Solanum lycopersicum: one gene and its partner. The protein of the gene in region 1 binds, or shares a complex with, the protein of each later gene. Links are inferred from orthologs where the notes say so. Each region holds a gene or a part of one and is shown on either strand. Other genes may lie near its edges.

The links.
Region 2: RNA-binding protein 8A-like (region 1) and protein mago nashi homolog share a complex: the UniProt entries of both Arabidopsis thaliana proteins name them as parts of the mRNA splicing-dependent exon junction complex. The link is inferred for Solanum lycopersicum from reciprocal best matches to the Arabidopsis thaliana genes Y14 and MAGO.

What each region holds. Positions count from the first base shown.
Region 1 is NC_090805.1:43,323,062-43,327,038, forward strand, and holds the start of RNA-binding protein 8A-like, read right to left. Parts: upstream 2,801-3,977; coding exon 2,542-2,800; intron 991-2,541; coding exon 854-990; intron 464-853; coding exon 318-463; intron 1-317. UniProt on the Arabidopsis thaliana protein: Core component of the splicing-dependent multiprotein exon junction complex (EJC) deposited at splice junctions on mRNAs.
Region 2 is NC_090802.1:52,071,423-52,075,424, forward strand, and holds the start of protein mago nashi homolog, read left to right. Parts: upstream 1-1,202; coding exon 1,203-1,421; intron 1,422-2,668; coding exon 2,669-2,845; intron 2,846-4,002. UniProt on the Arabidopsis thaliana protein: Core component of the splicing-dependent multiprotein exon junction complex (EJC) deposited at splice junctions on mRNAs.

The sequences.
Region 1 (3,977 bases):
AGGCCAGTGACAATTCCACTCCTACGGAGTTGAAGGCAATACAATAAACGACATATATTATAGTGAAACAGTTCGCAAGAAAACAATTACAGACGTCATAACATTAATCCAGTTGCAAATGTTTAAGAAGTAGCTATTCCAATCTCTGAAAATAATTTGAAGGCCCCGACTTTTTGTCAAGAGGGTAAATCTATGCTTCTGAAGGAACATTTGCCAACATTGATTAAAAGTGAAAAAGTGTATCCTTGATTCAGGCAACATTTTTTCACAGCTATTCTACACAAAATTATGTTAATTGGATTAACCAAGAAAAATACCTCCTCCTAACATTTCTCCTTCTAAAAGGACCTTTGCTGAATGCCCAATCAACATGTATAGTCTGAGTTAGCAGCTCATTCCCATCCATTTCACTAATAGCTCTCTCTGCTTCTTCAAAGTTTTCATATTCAATAAGTGCATAACCCTGTCAAAATGGAAAACTGTATAAAAACTATACCACTCCAAACTACGACAAAAGTTGAAACTTAAAACAAAGAAAAGTATCTATCTAGAATCCTTCATAATTAACATAGCATTGATCCTATTTTATTCCATTTTACTCCATTACAGATTCATTCAAGGAAATGCTCTTACATAGTTATATGGAAGAAGGAATGTCTGTCACTTATAAACTTCAACAAATTTTTCTTGATCAAAAGAATTTTGTCATCATCCAAAATCTTTTGATAGGAAAGTTTATTAGATTAAAGCATACAATGGGGATGCAATTCATATAGCATCATATGTACAACACCCAAAACCCAAAGAAGCAGGCAAGCAGCTAAACATTCCGAGAAAGAAAGAGTCAGTTCACCTTGACAAATCCAGAACGACGATCCAGATTCAAATGCAAATTCTTGATCTCCCCGAACTCACCAAATGTATTATGAAGATCATCTTCGTGTGCCTCCTCATTGACTCCAGTGACTAAAATAATCCATCCTTCAATGGCTGCAGATGTTCCCCTCATTAGCTCTCTACTACTAATTAAACTAAACCTTTATTAACCTTACCGGTAACTTCAAATATATATATATATATATATATTGAAGAAAAGAAAAAAAAAAAAAAGAGGGGGGGGGGGGGGGGGACACCATGCATGTCTGAATCAGCACCTATCAGACATTTTGGGATTTTTATTACATTAGAATTGCATAACTTGAAAAATATCTGAGATACCCAGCACAAATTACATATTACTTGAAGTGCTGGTGACCCAGCAATCAAACAACTAATATCTACGACTGAAATCAGCATATTAGATTCTGTTGGCCAATTTCTCCGACAGCAAGTGCTGAAGACCAAGCTGAGCCGTTGGAGGGTAAGTTGCATTAGCTATACAAAGCTAGCTCTCTCTAAAAGCTAAGCAACAATGATAAAGTGACAAATATACAGCCTACCATTACGTGCTTCTTAGATGTAAATAAAGTAATAGCTGGAACCCAATCCAACTGGTTAGCACATTTATAATGTAAAGAACACGAAGCTGGAGGGCGGAGGCTTATAAGCACAATGGCTAGAGGAGGGGACCAAACAGCACAGATATACATTAAGTACAAACATTTTACCCTATTTCACGATCTTTCCACTCTTTCTGAAAATGAAGACCTCAACTTAATTATTTTTTTTGACAAAAAAAGACCTCGACTTAATTATCTTCAAGTTATTCCACTTTCTAGATACCGTTACAGGGTCCTAACAACTTGAAGATGAGTACAAGCAATATTTGAGTGTTCCTTTCTCTAGTTGCTTTTCTTCACACAGATGAACAAAATCAACTTCTACTAGCAGTAGGTCCTAACTTCTTTATTCACTTCTCTAATTCTGCTTGCTTATACAATGTAGGTGAAACCTTAACATGGTCTCATTCACAAAAGCAATTTAATATCGTTCAACTAATCAATAACAGATAACAAATTAAACCAAAACTAGAAAGTATACTAAATACACTCAATAAAACCATAAAAGCACCTCGTGAAAAAACTCTAAAGATAACAGGGTCAACACTTGAGTGTTCAATGTTAGTCTTCTAAAGTTAGATGTTCTCTAGATTCAACACTGTAAACCAAACTAAACACACTCCTTCGAGGGTCATTACATTACGCGGATTACCAACCTGTAGCAGTTTTCTTTATTCATAACACAAAAACCAAAAGAAAAACAATTATAAGAATAAGCAATTTTTAACCTGTTAAAATTAAGACATCCTAAACCTAGATATTCTCTTAATTAGAAGTCTCTAACCAGACTAAAACATTTCCTTAAGACACTTTACCCATTACCCCAACTATCAACCTCCCGTCACAAAATCATAGAGAAAACAATTATAGGTAACAATTCTTTAACACCAGCGCACAAAGAGAGAATCTGGGGTTTTGATGAATTGTTGACCCACTGCAACATTTTCCCCTAATTTGAACAAAATTCTAAAAAAAAAAAGAAAAAAATGAGGTAGAAAGTTCGTTGGGTTATATAAAAGATGAGTTAAGAGTAGAAACTAACATCGTTCAGGTCCAGGGCCACCTTCGGAGTCAAGTGAATCAAATCGAGCAGAAAGGCGAGCATTCCTTTCAGCCTCAGCAGTCTCTTCACGGAAACCCCGTCCTTTGATTTTCTTAGAAGCAGAAGAACCGCCGCCGCCACCTGTAATGGCTGATTTCAGCTTTGGCATCGGTGCCCTAGGTGATGAAGCGTCAACGTCTTCGTCCATCAGATCGTCTTCCTCTGGCTCGAAATCCACAGCCTCCTCCGGGTTCGCCATTTTCGCCGCTGCAGCAAAAAGAGAGAATCTGGGGTTTTGATTCGCTTGTTTCAACTGTATATATTTATTTATTAGTACTAATAAAGTATTTTTGTTGAAGCTGTGTCCAGGCAAAATGCTAGGGTATTATACTGGCACAGAAGGGTTTTGGGCCATATGATCTTCCTAAATCTTTTTGTGGTCGGGTCGGGTCAGAAATATAGTTTATTGCAATTAATAAGAAAATATTGGACAAATAGAAATACACCTCTTTTGTTTCACTCATTTGTATTATCCCCTATTACTTTCAAAAATCTCTAAAAAAAAATTATTCTTTAATGTATTCGAGTTACACAATAATATATCTGATCCAGTATTTAATATATATGAGCTACATATTATGTATCCGAGTTAATTTTTAATGTATGCAAGCAACATATTAATGTATCCGAGATCATATTTAATATATCTGATCTTCAATTATTGTATTCGGATTTTTTAACTTTTAAGGTATTAATGTAATTAGAAACTTATTAGGAATAGATTGTAATTTCATATCAAAACTATGAAATTTATGTAGTTCACACAAAATATTTACCATAATATCAAATCATTTGATTTGAGACTCTAAAATATACTAGTCAAATAAAAATATCAAAATGAATGCATAATAAATGAAATTATAATCAAGGAATGTGGTGGAATGAATAAGATTCTTTCATTTTTGATTTAAAGTGTAGAATGTAAATAAGAAATTCTACTGGCCGCATTTCCATCGTAATAGTCTCACATGGTGTGAACATAAGCTAGTTAAATTAATATATTTCGAAGTATAATTAGAAACAGACAGAGAGATTCGTCCGCAGATTAGGTATTTTTAAATCTTTCTATGTATAGATATACATTTTTTGAACCTCCTAAGATTAGAACTTGACATAATAGAGTTTGAAATTCACCTTGAAAGAATACTATCTACTTGAACTACATAATGTTAAAAGTTAGAGAAAACAAATATATAAGCTTTTGTGTGATATTGTATTGTTAAAGTAGGTTTGTGTACTCTTGACAATTTCGTCATGGTGTATGAATGTGAAACCACAATTTAACTACACTAAGCCACTTATTATACTTCTTATTTACCAGAAGATATTAATGGGTTGTTTTTGTTCACAACTAATTACACCAAAGAATACCATAT
Region 2 (4,002 bases), on another chromosome or scaffold:
TTGTAACTTTTATGTATACGTAATGTATCTAAAAATATAAATGTATTTAAAACAAATAAGAAATTTAAATGTATCATGACAAAATTGATCAATTATAAACAATTGTAAAGTGCAGGTAGGATACTAACCAAAATCCGAACAACAATTGGGTTTGTTAGTGTTGTGAATGCTTCTAAATTCATCGATCATAAACAATTCATACTCCGAAAGATATAATTCATGATATTAGAGAACTCTATGGGTTCAAATATAATTGTGATAGGTATATTTGCATCACTGAGTTGGAAAAAAACGAAACAAACATATGAAATATAGGATTGCCATTTTAATGACATCCTGATTATTCTCCCATTGATCTATCAAAAATCTTTGAACTAAACAACTTTTGTTTACAATGTTTTTTGAGTCAAGAAAATATCGCTGAATCAACTTGATACGAGTGAAATCGGGATATTTGAATTCATCAATCATTTCTGTGCTTTTTATATCGATAATAATGACAAATTCTTTGATAATGAAATGCAAAATGTTTTCACTTGCGTGACGAATATAGAGTTCATCTATACTATTCTGCTCCAGCTCAAGTAGTAACAATCAACTATGAGCGAAAATAACGAAATTGAAACAATACCTAAGAGGAATGAGAAATTCTTTGACGGGAGAAAGAAATATCTTGAAATTCAAAATCAAAATTAGAATGATAAAATTATGGGAGAGAATATGACGTGAGAAAGAAAATCTTTGACGAAAGAAGAAAATATCTTGAAATTCAAAATCAAAATTAGAATGATAAAATTATGGGAGAGAATATGACGTGATTTCAGAAAAAATAATTAGAGAGTGAAATATAGGTTAAAAGATATGGAGTTATGTATCCAAGAGTTGAGTTTAAGGGGAAAAAAAGAATTTTAGTAATATTTTAAAAAAGAAGAGAATAATAAAAAATAAGTAAACTAATAGTGTATGTATAAGTAACTTTAAGTGCAAGCAAATGAATATTTTAGTCTACTTACAAATTATATATTATAATATTCAGCATGAGTCCATAACTTCTTGCGTCTAAACACTTTACTCCTCCAAAATTCTATAATTTTGGAAAAAAGGCCCTTATGGGCTTTGTTAATTCACAGTTTGGTGTCAAAACTCCAAGGGCGGTGTTTTAGACCTAAAAGGTAGTCGCCGTTGACAGAAGAGGGCAAACTATGGGGGAAATGGCGGAGAATGATGAGTTTTACCTGAGATATTACGTGGGTCACAAAGGAAAATTCGGTCACGAGTTCTTAGAGTTTGAGTTTAGGCCTGATGGCAAGCTCCGTTATGCTAACAATTCCAACTACAAGAATGATACAATGATTCGCAAGGAAGTCTTCCTTACCCCTTCTGTTCTCAAAGAATGCCGCCGCATTGTTGCTGATAGCGAGGTTTTTTATCCTCTCCCTTTTTTTCGACTGCATTTTGTTGTTTTGGCTTACAATTAGGGTTTGGGTCAAACTCGCTTTCTCCTTTGGTTTGCAGGTGATTTTTGCTACATGTTATTTAGGGGTTTTACTTTGATTAGTGCAATGCATCGTCAGTCCAGAACACGTTTGCTGGATGATTAGTTTTAACTATGATGTGGAGGATTCATATAGCTAGATAGCCTCAGTTAATGTGAGAATGAGGCATAATTGATTGATTGATTGTCTATGGGGTGCCGTCCAATAGCTTTCGGTTGTTACTTATGTTCTGATTTAGGAAAAATCCAAATTATTTGTAGGTCAATGATTGTGGGAAGGTCAATGAGAAGACTGGAATTCCAATTTTTAGAGCCATTACCTAAGAATTGGTAGTAAAGAGCCAAAATTCTCATCCCAGGAGAAAGATAATCACCATATTTTGGGCAATTTTGGTGCAACATTCATTGCTGATAAGCAAAATTATCATTTTAATAGCATGGGAACTAGGTCAAATTTTCTAGATTCAATTAGGTGTAAATTTCTAGGTATCAATTTGTCAAAAAGAAGATTTTTCCTTGTTTCATTCATTTGAATCGTTTTCCTAGGAAGACTTCCTTAAGAAGGAGAGAAGCAGCTGCGGTGGAGGGTTGGGGTTTTTCTTTTTTCATGACTAGCTTTCGCTTGTTACTTATGTTCTGATTCTGCCAAAATCAGAGTCTTTTTTTTTTTTTTTATGACAAGGGAAACCCGCAGCCTCTACCCTTTGGGTGCGAACAGGATAAAACCCCGCTCCTATGGGAAGACCAATGAAAAGAGAGGAATACCAACTTTTAGAGCCATTTGGATCTAATAATGTTAGTGAAGAGGCAAAACTGTCATATCAGAAGAAAGATAACCATGTTATTTGGAGCAATTTTGGGGTTAACGTTCATTGCAACGAAGCAAAATTATTATTTTGATAACATAAAAAAACGAGATGTAAAATTTCTAGTTATCACATAAATGAACTTTTCTTGTTTGAATTGTTGTCCAAGTAAGGGTTCTTTTAGGAGGGGGGAGAGAGTTGTAGCGGAGGGCTGGGGTTTGTTTTGTTCAGTGTGATGTAATGTGTGTTTTTTGCAACTCCGACTTTGTATCTCTTCCACCTCTTTACTTTCTTAGTATAAATAATAACTTGACCATCATTCTGATTTCAAAATGGAAGAATTAATTTGCGTGTGTGTTTGTTGTAGATCATGAAGGAAGATGATAACAACTGGCCGGAACCAGATAGAGTTGGTAGACAGGAGCTTGAGATTGTGATGGGAAATGAACACATATCATTCACTACATCTAAGATTGGTTCATTAATGGATGTGCAGACCAGTAATGATCCTGAGGGACTCCGTATCTTCTATTATCTTGTTCAGGTTATGATCTGCAGTAATTTTCTCTTTTTTACTTCTTTATCTGAATATGTCAAAAGCTCAGATAGAAAAGCAAATATCATTCTGGCTATTTACATCCATATTTTATATTTTTACTACATATACATGTAGGTCTCATTTTATCTAGCGGAGTTTATTTTTAGAGGATCCTTTTTCTTCTTTGAAATGATCTAGACGCACTGTACTTTGTATTATTATGTTTCCCTTTTATTTGGAGCTGTACAAGCAATATGGTATTAGTTTTCATCAGCTAGATATATTACTCACTCGAAGCAGATCAGGGGTCCTAGTTGTAAACAGTAAAATGGTTGTTCATATGTGTAAATCTGTTATATGTGAACCTTCTGGACTGATCTGGTTCCAATTGCTTAGTTCCATTAGAAAAATTAACTCCCTTCAAACTCCCTCTTTAGATTGCCTTGGAAACTGGATGGTGAAAGCCTCTGTTCCATCTTTACAAGAATAGAGAAGAGTTACTTTGATTTGGACTTTGGAGATACTTCTCTTATTGCAGCTGGACTTAGTTTGTAGTCTTGTTGCTGCATAATGCTGCTTCTATGGTTGCATACTTTCTCCTTTTTTTCACCTTCCACCCTTCCAATAACAACATGGTTTGATCATGAAGAGAAAGTGATGGGTATTTATTATCGTTTTACTTCTTTTTTGTTTGGTTGGGGGAGATTATAATGATTAGGAGTAAAAGAAAAGAAAGAGCAATGGATATTAAGAATTTCTGCTGATCTTAGTCCTTTATCTTCCTACCTTACGGCAATAATGATCCAGGATGGCAAGAAAGTAGGATATTGTTGGGGGGTGGGGGGGGGGGATGTTTTTTTGGAGTTTAGACTTTAGAAGAATAATGGCGGAGGGGGCTAGGTGCGGAGAGGCCAGCTGAAAGTTTGAAGTCTGTGTGGTGGTATCATGAGGACTTCAGATGATCCAGGGATACAATGGCGTTGAAGTTGGTCTGACCGTATTGAGTGATAAACATCAAGGAGTCTGCCATTTTTTTCTCTAGCATATTTTATGCACCAAAAATATATGAGATTGTGCGTTGGTTAAGGAACAAAGCAGAACCTTTGGTATATAGAAATTTACAAAATGGGAACTCGGCTCAACTTATGCCAGATGTGTAGTTA